Linked DNA regions of Caenorhabditis elegans. The protein of the gene in region 2 purifies or fractionates together with the protein of the main gene of each other region. This does not show direct contact. Each region holds a gene or a part of one and is shown on either strand. Other genes may lie near its edges.

Evidence for each region. Proteins that work in one complex are often made in the same cells at the same time.
Region 1: the proteins of dpy-21 (region 2) and sgk-1 purify together in Caenorhabditis elegans (affinity purification with western blotting, with the first as the bait; one study listed by BioGRID). This does not show direct contact.
Region 3: the proteins of dpy-21 (region 2) and sdc-3 purify together in Caenorhabditis elegans (affinity purification with western blotting, with the first as the bait; one study listed by BioGRID). This does not show direct contact.

The regions. Positions count from the first base shown.
Region 1 is NC_003284.9:16,256,020-16,263,931, forward strand, and holds the start of sgk-1 (Serine/threonine-protein kinase sgk-1), read right to left. Parts: upstream 6,033-7,912; coding exon 6,011-6,032; intron 4,110-6,010; coding exon 4,042-4,109; intron 3,294-4,041; coding exon 3,219-3,293; intron 3,172-3,218; coding exon 3,035-3,171; intron 2,978-3,034; coding exon 2,894-2,977; intron 2,261-2,893; coding exon 2,119-2,260; intron 2,065-2,118; coding exon 1,933-2,064; intron 1,848-1,932; coding exon 1,735-1,847; intron 1,658-1,734; coding exon 1,438-1,657; intron 1,019-1,437; coding exon 712-1,018; intron 1-711. Other genes in the region: mua-6 (Intermediate filament protein ifa-2), read right to left, coding at 6,462-6,512, 6,570-6,686, 7,631-7,792. UniProt on the Caenorhabditis elegans protein: Acts downstream of PI3 kinase age-1 and kinase pdk-1 in the daf-2/insulin receptor-like transduction pathway. Essential role in regulating development, stress response, and longevity.
Region 2 is NC_003283.11:17,946,059-17,951,086, forward strand, and holds the start of dpy-21 (Lysine-specific demethylase 9), read right to left. Parts: upstream 3,136-5,028; 5' UTR 2,971-3,135; coding exon 2,947-2,970; intron 2,899-2,946; coding exon 2,848-2,898; intron 1,985-2,847; coding exon 1,890-1,984; intron 1,723-1,889; coding exon 1,573-1,722; intron 1,030-1,572; coding exon 962-1,029; intron 483-961; coding exon 1-482. UniProt on the Caenorhabditis elegans protein: Histone demethylase that specifically demethylates dimethylated 'Lys-20' of histone H4 (H4K20me2), thereby modulating the chromosome architecture. Promotes chromatin compaction by converting H4k20me2 to H4K20me1 leading to transcriptional repression.
Region 3 is NC_003283.11:15,045,176-15,049,888, reverse strand, and holds the start of sdc-3 (Zinc finger protein sdc-3), read left to right. Parts: upstream 1-1,681; 5' UTR 1,682-1,783; intron 1,784-2,087; 5' UTR 2,088-2,097; coding exon 2,098-2,305; intron 2,306-2,838; coding exon 2,839-2,934; intron 2,935-2,981; coding exon 2,982-3,136; intron 3,137-3,190; coding exon 3,191-3,503; intron 3,504-3,680; coding exon 3,681-3,821; intron 3,822-4,143; coding exon 4,144-4,713. UniProt on the Caenorhabditis elegans protein: Component of the SDC complex that functions in sex determination and in X chromosome dosage compensation specifically in hermaphrodite (XX) animals.

The DNA.
Region 1 (7,912 bases), on a different chromosome or scaffold from region 2:
TTTTTTCCTCAGCTCATTTCATCTTAATATTTTATTTGGGCTTCTATTAAAATTAGACATTTTAATGAGATCAAAAACCGAAAAAGAAACTAATAAACTTTGCCGAGAAACAAAAGGAATCAAAAGACGTGGGCTTGAAAAATGAGGCTTTTTAAAAAGTTTTGGAAAGTTTGAAAACAGTTTTTAAAAAAATGAAAAAAATGTTTCAAATTTTTTCGCAGTCATTTTCGGTATATTGAGACTGTTCTTTTTGATTTTGAAAAGAAACCGTACAGAAAAAGGAAGTTTTTGAAGAAAAATGAAATTTTTGAAGACCTCTCATTACAAGATTTGGTCTTACTACATATTAGATGTCACTTTGAATAGAGCGTTGAACTAAGATTAGTTACTACAAATTTTTACATTCTTATTGGAACCAACCCTTCTCCCCAACTAGGGCTGGCATATTTGGGGTCCGGTTTTGGAATTTTAAAAAATTTTCAGAAAAAGTAGTTTTCACGGCGGCCGACAATTTCCGAGTTTGGCCACTCACTATACTTAATCATATACATAATTCGATAATGAGTGGCTAAACTCGGAAATTGTCGGCCGCCGTGAAAAACTACCTTCGGAAAATTCTCAAAATTCCAAAACCGGACGCGATGACCGGAAATATGCCAGTTCTATCCCCAACCATCCTTAATTATGCCAATTATTGTACATATATCTTACATGGATCAATTTGAATCTCCACGAACTCCTTTGAAATATTGGATGTATCCATTGCGTTTTTCACTTTCGGAATGAACGGAGCCTTAAGCTCACGATTCAGAAGCTTATCCCAATCAACCGGAAGGAAGAATGGATGATCACGAATGTCACGGAAATCATTGCGATGGCCCAGACGCTTTGAACGGTCTTTTTGCAAGAGCCCGGTGATGAGCTCACTGCATGGCACAGAGATGTTGTGCTTGAGACGAAGTGGCTGGTTGATGATCTTGTCGTACATCTCGTTATGATCTTTTGAGTAGAATGGAGGCTGAAATGATTGCTCTTTTTTGGGGGGGGGGGGAGCAGATTAAGAAAGTTATGTCAGGGAAATAAATCAAATCAGCAATTTTAGCTTGAACTATGTAATATTTTGTGTTCTGTGGTTTTGGGAAAATCACAGAACAAAAAGAAGAAGCAAAAGAAGAAGCAATTTTAAGTTTCTAGTCTGAATTACACATCAGGGCTGTACTAATAGAAAAAATATGGTAAATAGGTTATGTAAAACTTTTAGAGAAGGTCATTGGAACAAAAGTCGGCAGAGTTCTATTGCGCTAAGCTCTACGAAAAGCGGAAGAAAATTGCAGTTGTAACTACTAATTATAAAACTAGTCATCATATTTTTTAATAAACCAGCTATAATATTTCAGATTGTGTATTTCAAGTTTATGCCAACTCGGCAATCCTTACCAATCCAAAAATCATTTCATAGAGAACCGATCCCAAACACCACCAGTCAACAGTCTTGTCGTAAGGCTTTTTCAGAATAATTTCCGGGGCCAAGTACTCCGGCGTCCCACAAAATGTGGAAGTTGTCTTGCTTCCTTGCATATCTTCTTTACAGAGCCCAAAGTCGGTGAGCACCAAGTAACCTTTATCGTCCAACAGAAGGTTTTCAGGCTTCAAATCTCTGGAATGTAAATTTATATTTGCATATTGCCAAACCAATTTAGAGGTTTCTTTTTTTGAAAGCAAGTAAATCGCTACCTGTAGATAATGTTTTTCTCGTGAAGATAACCCAGAGCACATGCAATCTCGGCCGCGTAAAAACGACTTCTCGACTCGGAAAAATGTTTCTCGCGTTGGAGGTGAGAGAAAAGCTGAAATGCCACATTTTGAAAGTTTTATAAGTTTTCTATCGAGTCCATTCTTCCCTATATTAATCTAAACACATGGAATAGGTACCTCTCCTCCGTTCAAGTGATCGAGCACAAAATACAGCTTCTCCTTATTTTGGAACGAAAAGTGAAGTGAAACAAGGAAAGGGTGCTTAAAGTTGTTAATGAGCACATTTCTTTCTGCCATGACGTGTTTCACCTTAAAAACGTATTTGCTACTTATGTTCCAAAAACTTGTAACACTAATCAATACCTCGTTCTTTTTTCTGATATGTTCCTTGGACAGAATTTTCATGGCGTAGATTTTTTTGGTCTCCTTGTGCCTGACTTGGTAAACTCTTCCAAAGCTTCCTTTTCCGATAGTTGTCAGATAATCGAAATCATTGGCGGTGGCTCTGAAAATAAACTGCTAGAGGCAAAAAGTCTTGCAACGTATATATGAAACTCTGGTTTCTAAAATTTCCATAAAAATTATACTGTTGGTCGAAAAATTTTGAGTCGACAAAAATAGGTCAACATGAGATGGGAAAGCCAAAATTTTCGGAAAATAAGCAACACTTCCTATTTTGGAACGAATCAAAAATGGATGTCTTGTTTCAAAGATTGGAAAAATTTCAAAAACTTGGTAACGTAGCTATTTTAAGAGCAGATGAAACAAAATTAGAAGCTCATTGCAAACGTTCGGGGAAAAAAATCAAAAGTATTTAATATAGGTCTCCCATGAGGTCGTCGCGCAAGACGGATGTATGCGAATGTATAATGTTGCGCGGAACCCCGAACGTGTCGGCCGCTTCCAAACAACCATCTCTTCACACTACGTTGCGCACACACCAAGCTACTTATTTCACGACCAAGCTGCGGAACCCCGAACATGTCGGACGCTCCAAATAACTACATTTCGAACTTCATTGCAAACACACGGTGGCGTCGGGGTGAGGTCCGCATTTTGCGCATCACTCAGCTGGGAGCTCTACTTCAATATGTGCAACTTTGGCGATTTACCGCAAATCCTTATGGCCAAAACATACGTTTTCCTCTCACTTGGTCCGAGATCAACATTATTCTCATCATCATCCGGACTTTCGAGATGGAAGAACCGACGGACATCCTCACTGTAATCATTGTAATCAAAGAATTATAAACTATCCAACATAAATTAATCTCATTACCTTCTTAAATTATTATCAACAAGATGCTGACTAATCACAAGGATCCAAACACGTCTTTTCTCGTAGAACTTGCTGTCAGCTTGCAGGAACTTCTTTTTCGGCGCAGTGAAAATTGTAGCCGGGATCATATCCTTTTCCTGAAAGTCAATAAAAAGTTGGAAAATAAAAACTTGAAAAAACTGACAGTTGTAAAAAATCTTTCATATTCTTCAAACGTTTTTTGCATAATTGGGCCATTTCCGATACGGAGCGCGTAAACCTGAAAATATAATTTTATTTGAAAACTCGTCAAGTGTATTTAAAAAAATATTTCTGATTTGGGCATGTGTGACAAATTTGTAATTTTCTATTATAGTTACTCGCCGTGTAGTCTTCAGGAAAAATGTTTTATAATTGAAACTGAACGTGTAAACTTTAAAATATTTCTTGTGGAACACACAAATCTCAAAAGTGAACACGGTAAATCTATAAATTGCAAGTTGCCGGAATTGAAAACGTGCAAATTGCCGATTTGCCGAACTTGCCGGAAAAACGACAATTGCCAAAAATGTTTGGCAAATTGTGGTTTTGCACATTTTTAAAAAATTTCAGAATTTCAATTTTAATCGGAAAAATTGTACGCATGTTCCAACATATATTTTGAAAATTGAACAACTTCTATGTAAATAGCTAAAGAAAACGGGAAAAAGTTTCAAAAAGGGCCAATTTTCATGTGTTTCCGTCTTATAAAAATCCCTCTAGACATTTCCGGCAAACTTGATATCCGGCAGACGGAAAACCGACAATTTGCCAAAAAAGAAAATTTCCGGCAACTCGGCAAACCGGTAAATTGTCGGAATTGAAAATCTCCGGCAAATCGGGAAAACCGGCAATTTGACGATTTGCCGAATTTGTCGACAAAATTTTTTTCCGCCTATCCCTGCATCACATTATACTTTACGGACAAAAAATGAGATAATATTTATTTTTAAAACTCTTTAAATTAATCTTAATGCTCTCTAACTTACCACAGTTTTCTTATCATCTCCTATAATAACATTGCATGTCACCTCATCTTTCCTCACCATTCTCGACTCTGAAATATTCAAAATTAAATTATATTAAAACATTTATCGATATCAATAAAAAAATAAATTAATGAGCATAACTAAAACTCGTCAATAAAAATCGATTGCTATTTCCGGGAAGCAGATCATGACTTTTTCTTCGGCCTTATCAGTCCTTTGAGAGAGTTTCACTACACTTATCAATACTGCATAAGCACTTTTTGACATGAAACTTATGTTGAAAAGAAAATTGGAAAAGGTAGTATGGCTCTGGTTTCTCAACTCCATTAGAGGTAATGAAAGGGTAAAAAACTTCTAGAGAAGGAAAAAAAAATATCATCATCATAATTTCTTCCGGTTGATGCAGAAAGTGACGTCATTATTTGCATTTTGAAAGAATCATAGAAATCATAAAAAGAAGCATGCAAAGTAAATAGATTGTTAAGAGGTATATTTCAAGATGATATAGATACGTTAAAGAAAAAATTTAAACCATTAATAATTTATAAATTAATTTCAAAAATTAGATGAATGAAAATGTCTATTTTTTTATTTTTTCAAGCATAAAAATAATTATTTGAAACTCTCAAAATAGGCACAATGATAAAAAATAATTATTTTAATCCATTGCAAACCTTTTTTGTAGTTCTAATACTACACAAGTAAAACGTAATAAATTGAAAAAACGTATTCAGTTTTGATTTCAGAAAATGAAAGTTCAAATGAAAATTAAGCTGTCAAACAGAAATGCGTTATCAAATCATTACGTTTGACCAGTGGATTATTTTATGTCAGAATTGGAAAATTTGATTTTGAAATCATGAAGACTGAAGTATGTTTCAGAAAGAGTTCATTATATTATAATTTCTTGGAAAACCTAATGCATTGTATTTTCCTGTGAGCATTTATAGGTTTGTTAAAAAACATCTAAATTCATAATGAAAATTCAAAACTAGTAAGTTTATGTTTGAGTTAATGATCTATCTGCATTTTAAAGGTGAAGTAGCGCCAATGGGGATTTTGTCTAAATGCTCTTATTATGATCCAAAACGACAGAATATCATAATAAAAAACTGCAAAAATTTTAGACTTTTCATAATTTCCGGTCAAAGTTTTGGCAAATGGCCAAATTTCGAAAAATATGAGCTTGTGAGGAAATCCGAAGCATGGCCGCATGTTTAGACCCCTACAATGTTTAAATGTGAATAATTAAAACACAGTCACAGTATAAACAATGTAGAAAAACTTTTTTTTTTCGGACGACTTCCAAAATTTTGAGTAAAAACTAAATAATTGTCACTTTTTGAGAGTAAAAAAAAAATTTCAAAAATTTTTTGAATAGTTTTATTTTGATATTCCATTAATTTGAGACCATAGGCGTGGTTTTTGACAATTTCCCCCACTGGCGCTACTCCACATTTAAAGCACATTTTAAAAAAAATTTATGATAACTTCTCACAGGTGTAGTAGCGAAATTTGGATTAATTTTTTAATTGGGTCAAAATGACCCCAAAATATCGAATTTAATTTATTTTTATTTCTGAAAAAAATAAAAAATACAAAAAACTACATTTTTAACTTGTCAACCTATGTTTGTCATAGTTACCCAAAATTGATTTTTATTAAATTTTATTGAATGTTCTGTTTTTCTATGTATTTTTAATGAATATATTTATTGTTATGACTTTTTTCGTTGATTAAGTTGTTTTCAGGAGTAAGAAGTATTTTTTGCACCCATCAACTAATGTTTTCAGACCGCCGCAACTGTGACATGTTGGCAGAAATCTAGGTTTTATCTGGAAGAGCTAGGTTTTCAAAATTTTATCAGCCATTTAAAAAAATTGAGACTTTTAAGACATTTCAGATTTTGAATTTCTTAAAACAAATACAAACATTTCACAGAACCAGCCAGGTTTAATCTTTGACTCACCATTATAATACATGCTGCCCATTGTCACAGTAATGCTCTCGTATTTAGAATAACCGCCACCAGGTCGAATGTGGGTTTTCGATGTATCTTGTCTCGTGTTAACTGATTAGAATCGCTGGGTTGGACCTTGTCTTCTTATCACGGCTCACCGAGCCATTCGTCTGACTTTCTTATTTGCTCTTGATCACGTTATCACCTTTAATATTTCCCCACCTTACTTTTCCTATCAATGTTTCAAATGAAAAATGAACATTCCATATGGCAATTTTTTGATCTGTATAAAGTATTTATTGTTGAAAATGAGTAAGTTACCGGAGGAAAAAGAAACAAAAAAGTGAAAAAGTATATAGCAAACGGAAAAAATGCAAACAGGCAGGCAGCAAAGAGTTGGGGTTCAGATTTCTGGTACAAAGAGAAGAAAACAGTAAATAGCTCAAGCAAAAAGCTAGATTTAGGAAGATGTCGTTTGTTGGCTTTGACGTTGGATGTGTGTCGCGCGCTCCTGCAAAGAAAAAAATAACATTTTATTCTGCACGTAAATTTTTGGGGGTTGAATTACCTCTCCCTTATTGTTGTAAAGGATTGTTTGAACGTTGGCGCCAACACCGAATGTTTCGTCACCTTCGAAAATGAGCACTTCTGGAGGATTGGCGATTCCTTGTCCGCGGGCGAAGATCTGGAAATGTAGAAATTTGTCTTTACAGTGGTTTTTTTAATGTTAAAACACCTCACTTGAATTTCTTTTTTTTTTATGAAAAATGTTTTGTATGAAATTGATTGAAGGTGGAGTAGCGCCAGTCGGGAAATTGTTAAAAACCACTCCTTTGGTCCAAAAATGACCAAACATCTTGATAAAACTTTTCAAAAAAAATTTTTAAATTTTTTATTTACTGTCAAAAAGTGGCAATTACTCAGTTTTTGCCACTCATAATTTTGGAAGTCGATCAAAAAAAAAATTTTTTTTCGACATTTTTTATGTTTTAATTTTGTTTGTATTAAAACATTGTAGGGGTCGAAACATGCGACATTTCTTTGAATTTCCTCAAAAGCTAGTATTTTAAAATTTTTTGGGAATTTGCCAAAACTTTGACCGGAAATTATGAAAAATCTAAAAAAAATTTTGGAGTGTTTTATTATGATATTCGGTTGTTTTGGATCATTATAAGTGCATTTAGACAAAATCCCCACTGGCGCTACTCCACCTTTTAAATAAATAATTGCTTCTTTCAAATTCATTTCTTATTCAAACCTTATTTGAAAACATTTTTTTTCAAAGCTGACCTAAATAATCTCACATCTCATCTGTCCCTTTTATTGATTTCTGTGAACAACGTTTGTCTTCACAGTTTCCATCAATTTGTTTATCACTTTTTATTCCTTCTTTTTCTCCTACATACATCCCCAATCTTTCTTTTTCGAAGCAAAGTTACCCCCCCTTTAGTCATTACGGACGGATGACCTTGCCACACCCAAACGCAATCGCGCATTAGATTATCAATTCGACACACACACACAGAGACAACAACACATTTCATTCTGAGACACCAATTTGAAATGTTTTATACGCGACAGGTCCTGGGTAGCTAGGCTTGTTTCTGAAAGAAGTAGAAATTCGCAAACCTTGACAGATTGGAATGGGTGGAGGATGTAGTCGGATGGGAAGGTGAAGACGATCTCGCGTTTTCCGTCGATCTTTCTCTTAAGCTTCCAGTCTCCGAGTGGCTCTTCTTTGGCTCTGTGTGTGTTTTCCAAAATGACAAATTTGCCTTCTGGGGAGGTTTCCTGAAAAGAAATTATCATTATTGAGTATGTACTAAGTGATAAATTGATTATTTTTATGTCGGAATGATATTATTAGTGACTACAGTCAATGGCCATTGGAAGTTTTAAATTTTTGAACGT
Region 2 (5,028 bases):
CCGAACATCCATGTTCAGTGGCTTCTTCGCGGGTGGTGGCACTGGTGGTGGTGGATGAAGGCTAAAAGATCCATTACTCTCCACACTATTGAATCGTTCTCTCGGCACTGGGGATCTCAGCATCCCGGGTGACATCGTCGACGATAGACAAGCAACTGGTGGAAGGATCGGCGGAGGTGGGATGCCTGATCCATTCCAGCTACGGATTCCGATTGGCTCTTTGGTCCTTAGATCAGGCATCGGAGGCTTCGGAGGCGGTGGAGGTAGGCGATCGCGGTAGGCAGCCGCAGCCGCCGAGGCAGTCATCACTGGTGGTTGTGGTGGTGGAATGATGGGTGCAGGTGGTTGAGTGACATAGTTCGGACGAGGTTGATAGTACGGCGATGGATTCATGTGTGGATAGTATGGGGCGCCGTTGGACATTGATGGTGGTGGTGGATGTTGGATGTAGTAGGATGGTGTCGCCGGATGTTGGGAAGGGCCTGAAAATTGGAAGCTTCTCTTTTTTTTAGGCTTGAAGGTTCTTTTTAGGCTTTAGGTTTAGGCTTGAAAAGCCTGAAGAAATCGGATTTTTCTAAGGATTTTCAGGCTCGTTAGCTGGAAATTTTCGATTTTTCGAAATTTTTTGGTCGAATAATCCAATTTTTATGACTGTAAAGGGCTTTAAAGTTGGGAAAAATCGCAGAAATGCGAATTTTTCCAACTGATTTATGACAAAAATTGAGATTTTCGGTGGTTTTTTAGCTTAAACATGAGAAAAATGTCAATTTTTCAACTAGATTTTCGGGCTTAAGCTCAATTTCAATAGTTTTAACTAGAAAAATTCTGAAAATTTCAAATTTTTAGATGAATTGTGTCAAAATCCTCAGTTTTAGAGGCTCAATTTCAGGCCGAAAAAACCAAAAAACGCCTAGTTTTCATGCTCCAAAATCGTTAAAGTACTGCAAAAATCAATAATTACCAGGAATTCCTTGTTGTGGCATCATCATCGTCGGATACGGATACGGATATCCTGTAGAGCTGCCGTATCTGAAAACATTGGGAATTTTAGAGCTCTAAATTTGAAGACCCCCAAAAAATATTGGCTTAAAATTCAAAATTTACGTGAAATTTCAAATTTTTTATGGAAAAATTTGTGAAAATTGCGGAAGAGTGGTGCTTAAAATACTTTCAGGAAAATAATTTTTGAAAAAAAATTTTTTTTTGTTGGAATTTTTGAATTTTTGAAAATTCAAAATTTAAGTGAAATTTTGGAATTTTTTTAGAAAAAAAGTATAAAAACTGCGTAAAAGAGCTTAAAAAGCATTAGAAACACCAAAAAAGACTCTACAAAAATTAATGACCACTGTCGGGGGTCGAACCCCGGACGGGTGGGTGCCAGTCGGACCGCTAACCGACTGAGCCACTTGCTCCCCAAAGCAAAAAAAATAATTTTGAACTTTTTTCAAGTTTTCGCCTAAAATTCAAATTTTCAGTGAAAATACGAAAAAAAAATTTAAGTTTTTTCGTCAAAAAAAAAACTTTTACCAAAAAAAAATTTTTTTTCGAAATTTTAAAAAAGAAAATGCTCACGTTGGATAATAGGAATATGGAGCAACAATTGGCTGCTGCTGTTGCTGCTGTTTTACAGGCTCATCCGGCGGTGGAAGAGGCGGAGTTTTAGGCCCACGGCGTGGGCGGTATTCACTATAATCATTGTCATGGCTGCTGCTCGTGTGTCCGCTGAAAATTGGGGAATTTTTTTTCAAAATAATAATTTCCAGAGATTTTCAGCTATTTTTGGGTGAAAATTGGAATTTTCTAAAGAAAAATGTCAGAAAATAGGTCAAATTTCAGCTTCAAAAATTTAGGCCAATTTTCAGCCGAAAAACCAAAAAAAAATCGCCTACTTCTGAGGTCCTTGTGGTGCTGGAACAAACGAATCATTGCTCAGTGATGAGCTCGACGAGCACGGCCTTTCGTTGGCTTCTGTGGGTTCTCCGTCCTGTAAAAATCGATTTTTTTTTGCGGTTTTATGTCGAAAATTGGGTTTTCACTGTGTTCTCAAATACAAAAATTAACAAAATTTTCGAATTTATCGTCAAATTTCAGTTCGAATGGTAATTTTTCAACAAAAAAAAATTTTTTTTTGGGTGCACAAGTGGCTCAGTCGGTTAGGGGCCCGACTGGCACCCACACGTCCGGGGTTCGACCCCCACTGTGGCTCATAATTTTTGTAGAGTTTTTTTGGCATTTCTACATCAAAACTTCGTATTTCTATCGAGATTTCCGGTGAAACTATGTTCTTTCAAGTCCAAAAGTCGTCGATTTTTAGGCATTTTTTGCTCTAAAACTGAGAAATTACGAGAATTAGAGGTTTTCGGCCTTATAAAAACTAAAATTTGGTTTCAAATTCGAAACCTACGGAAAAATTCAGATCGAATTCTTTTTTTTTTGTTGAAAAAAACAATTTTTTTTGGTGCAAAAGTGGCTCAGTCGGTTAGTGGCCCGGCTGGCACCCAAATGTTTGGGGTTCGACCCCCAGCTGTGGTCATTATTTTTTGTAGAGTGTTTTCCGTGTTTCATCACAAAATAAATTGGGTATTTGATTAGACAATCAAGTTTTTTAGACTTTTTTGACTCCAAAACTGATAAATTTCGATAATGAGAGGTTTTCAGCATTTTCCAAACTAAAATTTGATGACACATTCGAAATCTACGCAAAATTTCAAATCGATTTCAGTTTTTTTTTCGAAATTTTTTTTTGGGTGTGCAAGTTGCTCAGTCGGTTAGGGGCCCGACTGGAACCCACACCTCCGGGGTTCGACCCCCGGAAGTGGTCAAAAAAAATTTTTTCGAGCTACTTACAGGTGTTCTCGGTCCACGCGGACGTCTCGGCTCTTCAGGAGCACCAGAGTTCTGCAAAAATCGATAATTTTTTGGGATTTTTTTTCCTTCGAAACAAACCTTATCAAAAGTGGTGCTTCTCATATTTTATATCACTTTCAGACAATTTTGTTTGGAGATTTTTTTTTTTTGATGTTCTTCTTCTTAATGTGCAATCATTCTTCCTTCAAAATTGTCGTTCAAAGTGCAAAATTGTTGTTCGGTTTTGTTTTTTTTCTGTGTTGGCGCAAATTTGGGTCTGAAATTTGGAAAATTTTTTAGAGTAAATCGGAGAAGAAATGCGGAAAATCTAGGAAAATTTGAGAAAAAATAGGGATTTTTCGGTGAAAAATAGACAAATTTGGCACAATTTCGATGAAAATCCATATAAATTGAAAGAAAACGCTGGTAGCACAACTTTAACGTATTAAAATTTCCGGCCAAAAAGCTATTGCTTGCAGGAATATTCAGGAGAATCAGAATTAAAATAGATTCGAGATACATTCCATTTTAATTAAGCCTATGGCTATGACGAATTCGGAGTTAAACACGAATAAATTAAATTTTCCCAAAAAAAAAATCGATTTCTCAATTTAAAACATAGTTCTTAAACACTATAAAGGGCAATTTAATAAACTGAATTAATAACTATAGAGTTAATTAAATCATGCTCGTTATAACTTTTGATTAAAAGGATTTCTGATTTTCGTAATTTAACTAATGGGGTTATTCAAGTAATGTTGTAAAAAAATTATTAAAATACATGTTTTTATGTATTTTAATTAAGCAGCTGTGATGTCATTTTTCTACACTTTTTCAATTTTCCGCGACACTACTCGAATAATCCCATAAGCTATAATGGAGCACTTGTTTTATTCATGAAAATCTTAACTTATTGAGTTAAAAACATTATTTATGAACGCAAATTATTTTAATAACTTATTAATAATACGTCAAAGGTGAAATTAAACAAGGTAAGTTCATAAATAATAGCTATATTCGGATTTCTATATTCTATTGTTAATTTAGTTATAGTCTAATCAGAAGTAATAAGGACGGAATGCGGAAATCGCAACAAAAAAAAAAGGTTTACGAGAATTTGTGTTCTATAAACAATACGAGCATTCGGAGAGAAATATGACACTTTTTCGAAATATGCTAGGAAATTATATTTCAATATATTTAAAAGTCCTCTATAATAATAATTATTATTGATTTAATTTAATTGTACTCTATTATCAAAATATATAAACTGACATGTGAAACGTGGCTTATTTTTTATTTTTCCTTTCGTTGAAATTTTAATTTATTAGTTCATTTTAAAAAAATGGGAGGAGCTCAAATAAAAAACAAAGCAAAAAAAATAAGCCACGTTTCACATGTCAGTTTATATATTTTTGATAATAACGAAGAATTTAAATTAAATTATTAAACGTACTCATTATTAACGCACCAACTTTAAAAAGGTGGTGTAATTATATTTTTACTACGTCAAAAGTGAAGAAGCTTAATTTTTTTCTATACTAGTGTTAATTATAATAATTTCTTAATTCTAAGCTCAAAAATAATAGTTACATTCGAAATTCTTCCCAAACTATAATTTCGGTTAATCTGAGTCGATAAATGAAAAAAAAAATCGTTTAATTAAGTTACTAACGAGAATTTAAAATATTTCGCAAACTTTGCAAATTTTCTTCAAGAAAATCTGAAAAATATAGAAAAGTCTATATATCGTAAATATTAACGTGATAATGAATAGTGACAGCGGAATTATTTTTTGAACAAGACGAGGCTTTCAAATTCTTATTTTTTATAAATTAAACTTATTAGCAAAGATACTTATCACGATTTGTTAGTAACTATTTAAATTAGTAAATAAAGTAATTTTACTCATTCAATGATTAAAAGTAACTAGTAAGGAAGTATTACATTTAAATCAGCTTCTATAATAAAACATTAACGATAAACTAAAAACTAATGGGGTTATTCAAGTAATTACGTCACAACTGTATTAAAATACATAAAAGCATGTATTTTAATACAGTTTGTAACATTACTTGAAATAAACTAAACCCCATAATTTATATGATTTAAAACTAAATCTCCGCTTAAAAAACATTAATTTCTACCCATTTCAAATAAAATCGGCTTTCGAAATAAATT
Region 3 (4,713 bases), 2.9 Mb from region 2:
ACTGCAGGTCTGTCTCCTCCAACGACAGGCTTGCAGAACTGCTCGAAGAGACGAAGAGAATCAAGTTCGATATTATCGGACTCTCTGAAACAAAAAGAGCAACGGAAAAGCATGCAATTGGCGCCGACGGGGTCGAGATCTTTCTAGGATCTCGAAACCCAAATTCTGTTTCAGGAGGGGTCGGCTTCATCGTCACAAGCACCTCCTCCCCCGAATCACTGAAGTAGTTTTCTCCAAAGTAACATCCATTTCAACATTAATTTGGCGAAACTAGATCAAGTGAAAAGGAGAAAACCCCCGAAAAGAGTTTTGGATAAAGCTACAGCTCTGGCTGTCAGCGCAACAATTACTGCCCCTGCTCATGGAGATATTGATGAGGACTACAAGATCCTTGTCGACTCTCTCAAAACAGCCCAGGATCAATCAGTAATTCAACCATCCATCCACTCCGCCAACCGACTCTCGGAGGAAACTCGACAAATGCTCTTCAAAAGACGTCTTATGGACAGATCAGACCCAAATTTTAAGTAACTATCTATAAAATGTAGGGAAGCAGTCGAGAGAGACCATGAGAACTTTGCCAGTGCCCGCCTGCTAAAAAAAACTGAGTGACAACTGGGTGACAACTGAGTGATTTTTTTGAATCCTTATACTAGAAGGCCGAAGTAGCTAATAATTGAATGCTTTTATACACTCACGGTTCACTATAAGTCACGCATATAAAACTTACAAAAAATCGTAAATTGACAAAATAAGTCAATAGTAAATTATTTGCCGACCTAATATTACATTTCAAAATGTTGGCAAGTAACATCTCGGGTATTACACTCTCGTGGGAATCTCCAAAATGTTTCCATAGTTACTCACTCCATTACACTTTCAAAAAATCATAAACTGAACCAACTCTTCTCTCTCCACTTGCTCACACGCATGAATGTTTAGTTTTCAGAAGAAAGGTCAGGTCACTTGCCATCCAGATACGGTGGATTTTTAACAGCTCGCGCGTCCGTATGCTAGTCTTACATCTATCGATTCGTATATGCATATTTTTGTGTTAATTAGTTTTGTCAGGTTTTTCAAAACTGACTCTTGTGACAATTAGTTTCTGTTTCCATAGTTACTCACTCGTTAAACTTTCCAGAAATCATAACCCATAAAATATGACAAGTTATGTTAATTTTCTCTGTGGGTCTCGTCCTGATATCTAGCAGATTTCATCATTTGAAGCAATTAAAAATCTAAAATTTCTGATTTGATTAACACTTATTTTTCTTGAGCCAGAACTCAAAAACGGGATTTTATTTAAAAATTTGACTTTTTGCAATCTTTTAAAAATGGACATTTTCAAGAAACTTTCCAAGAAATTTTCAATTTTTGGCCTCTGATTTGAAAGTATGTAGAGACTTTTTTCTTCTGCTCAATTTTTTTTCTAGTTACCATAACCCTATTTTGAAATCAGTTATCTAAAACACTAGATGCACCCATGTGTTGTCCTCTTCTCTTTCCTCTTCATGTGTCTTTCCATCTCTACGTCTCAATCTCTAACACACTCTCTCCATCTCCCCCTCTCGAGATGTTGCGAACTACGCTAGTTGCCTTATAATTTTGAATGTGAGATTTTCCCGCGCTCATTTTGATTAATTCTTTTTTTATTTGCTTTCAAGATTAAATTCAATTTCAGAGAAAAAAAACAAGAGCCACTGGTAAATGAGAAGTTTTGGTTTCCGGGGATCCCGATTCCCAAATCACATTTAATCACTTCCTCTGCATATTTATTCAAAAAGTGAGTTTTTATGTTTTAAAATATTGTGAATAATTTTTATCAAAATTAAAATATAATACTTGAAGTGAAAAAAAACGGAAAAATATTATTTAAATGTGAAATAAAAATCTTGAAAGTAAAAATTCGAAAAGTTCTGAAATTTTCAAATTTTATCGCTCATTTCTAGTCATATCAAAACGTTATCAACTACAAAAAATTAGACAATAATATTATACAATTTTTTTAGTTGAAACTTTTTGATATCTTGTGAAACAAGCGAGACATAAGCTGTCAAAGTTTAAAAATCTTAAAATTTAATTTTCAGAGCATTAGAAATGTCTGACGAACCACCAATAGTGCTCCCAACTGAAGAAGATGGCCCATTCTCCAACTGTGTATCGATTGCATTTGTCAATGACAAGAGCATACCCGTGGAGCTACGAATTCGAAAAGCTATTCGTGGAAAAGTCACGTTCACTCAGGAACTTGTAGTCGCTGCACGTAGATTGTACCTGGATGGAGAGTTAGAAAGACCTGATCTCAGTGAGTTTATTTTTGTTGAAAAAAACTGATAGAAACAAAATAGAAATAGCATTCGATTCTACAAAAGCTGAATGAAAATATACATAAAATATTAAATTATTTTACACCTAATTTTTTTTTGAAAAAGTCGTCAACTGAAGTCATTTTTTAACACAAATAATATTCAAAAATATTCATTAAAACCGCAACAAGAAAACGCACTCTAGGAAAGCGACAGAAAAGGCAATTAAAATCCCTCGCCCAGATGGAAGCTGTTAAATAATTATCTCAAAATATGCAAATTTTTTGGTAAACATTTACATATTTTTCATTTTTAAAATTTCAAATAAAGTGTTTTTAATGGTTTAAAGTTGAAATTCCAATTTTTTAAATGTAAAATGTCAACTAAAAAAGACATTAAAATCCAAAAAATACATAAAAATATATAGAAAATGTGTTAATATTATGACAACTAATTGGAATCGTGCGAGGGCGAGTAAAGGGGCGATTACGATGCAACATGCATCATACATTCTAAATTTAATTTATTTCAGACTACCACGTTGCCGCCGACTTCTATGATCCATTTATGATCCCGGTACCAGATCACCGTAATTGGGAGTATAACCCTTTATATCCTCGGGAGTGGCGTAAGCTCAATATTTCTTTGGTTCTCCCTAGAAAAATAAATTTTCAGCTAGACTAATTGATAGAGATCTCGTCCAAAAGATCAAGATGTCCAATACGTACAAAAAGAACCAGGCGAGAAGGAAAAGACGACGACTATTAAGAATCTTCCATAGGAAACGAGGTGGAGAGTTTTTGAACTATTTATGGCATTCGAAGGAGAATGTGAGTTAACTTTTTTTTTAACTAAAAAATTTGAAAAACCTCTTAATCTTCCAGGACGTGCACTACAAACGGTATATGGCCGCCTATCAATTTCCTCTTCCATTCGAGAAATGTATCAGGGATGTAGTGAGAGAAGAGCTTAAAGATCCCGAAACATCATTTTCTAAACCACCATCAGTGGTACATCATTCGAAGATTCGACCAGCCACGCCTGATTTGTTAAAGTTGGCGAAATATCTTGGAAAGGATCGGTTTTGCTTTATTGTGACACCATTTAAATTTCGATCTCAATTCCGTTTACGTTACTACAAGAAATCTCCATTCAAACGTTCAAATATTCTTGAGAAATGGTTAAAGTTCAAAAAAGGTAAGGTTCTGATTTTTGCTTATTAATTAACTTTATCAAATTTTGTAAAATATCACACTTATAGTTAGCATGTTTTTCTTTCAATAATTTCAAATACTGTGAAAAACAAATTTCAATGCTGTAAAAATATGTTGCTCCCCAAAGTAAACTTGAGATCTAACTTCATACATGTTTTAGTGAGAGATCAAGGTGTGTTCAACATTCGAGATGCCGCTCGTGAAGTGAAGAAGCTACTTCAAAGGAAAAACGTCTACCATATGACAGACCCGCAATGTGAGCAGGAGTTCTGGGATGTATACAGACTTCAAATGCAATGGCGTAAGTTTTTGAGCACTTTTTAAAATTACGGCCTGTTTAGAGATTAAAAAATTTTGTGAATATATTATTCAATTTCAAATTTTTTCTTTTTCCCATTCTATTTCGCGGTTTCGGTATCAAACTTATTATAAGAGTGTTTAGGAATAGGCAACGATTTTAGAAACTTTCTGGAACAATTTAATTTTCTGAAAAATTTAAAATTAAAACAATTTCTGGAAAAACTACCCGGATTTGTTTGTCAAAGTTTTGGTAAATTGACAAAACTTCCCATTGACACAGCACCATGTTCAAAACTTTTAATAAAAAGTTATAATATTTTAAGTGGAAGAAGACAACATCGAGGAAAACATCACGATGCTTCGAGAAAATTTATCAAAAGTGACAGACGAGGAATTCAATAGATCCGTGTATATTATGAGACCAGAGAATCGAGCATCTATCCACGACGACGTCACATTCACCACCGATGCCGAAATCAATCTGAAGCCAATTGTTCTGGAACTTTTTCGAAATAATATGCCACTCGAAGATATCAGACAGGTTAAGGAATGTATTGACGACATGATTAACTTGACTGTCTGCCAAGAACTTATACCTCAAGTTGCTACAATTGAGACTGTTCGTGATTATTCTGGAGTTGAACAACATCGTTTAAAGTATATTCGCCCAGAAAATGAGCTGGAGATAATGTTCCAATTAGCTACCGTTCTTGTAAAAAACGAGAATACTCATGATCAAGAAATCACTTCTCCAATGTTTGCACTGCTTCGAACAGAACAATATTTGTGGTCAATTCCACTTCGACCATTTCTTCGAATGTACACTGACTGGAGGAAAACTAAACTTAATTTCAAAAAGTTTAGAAAATTCTCCCCGGAATTAGTCTCCAAAG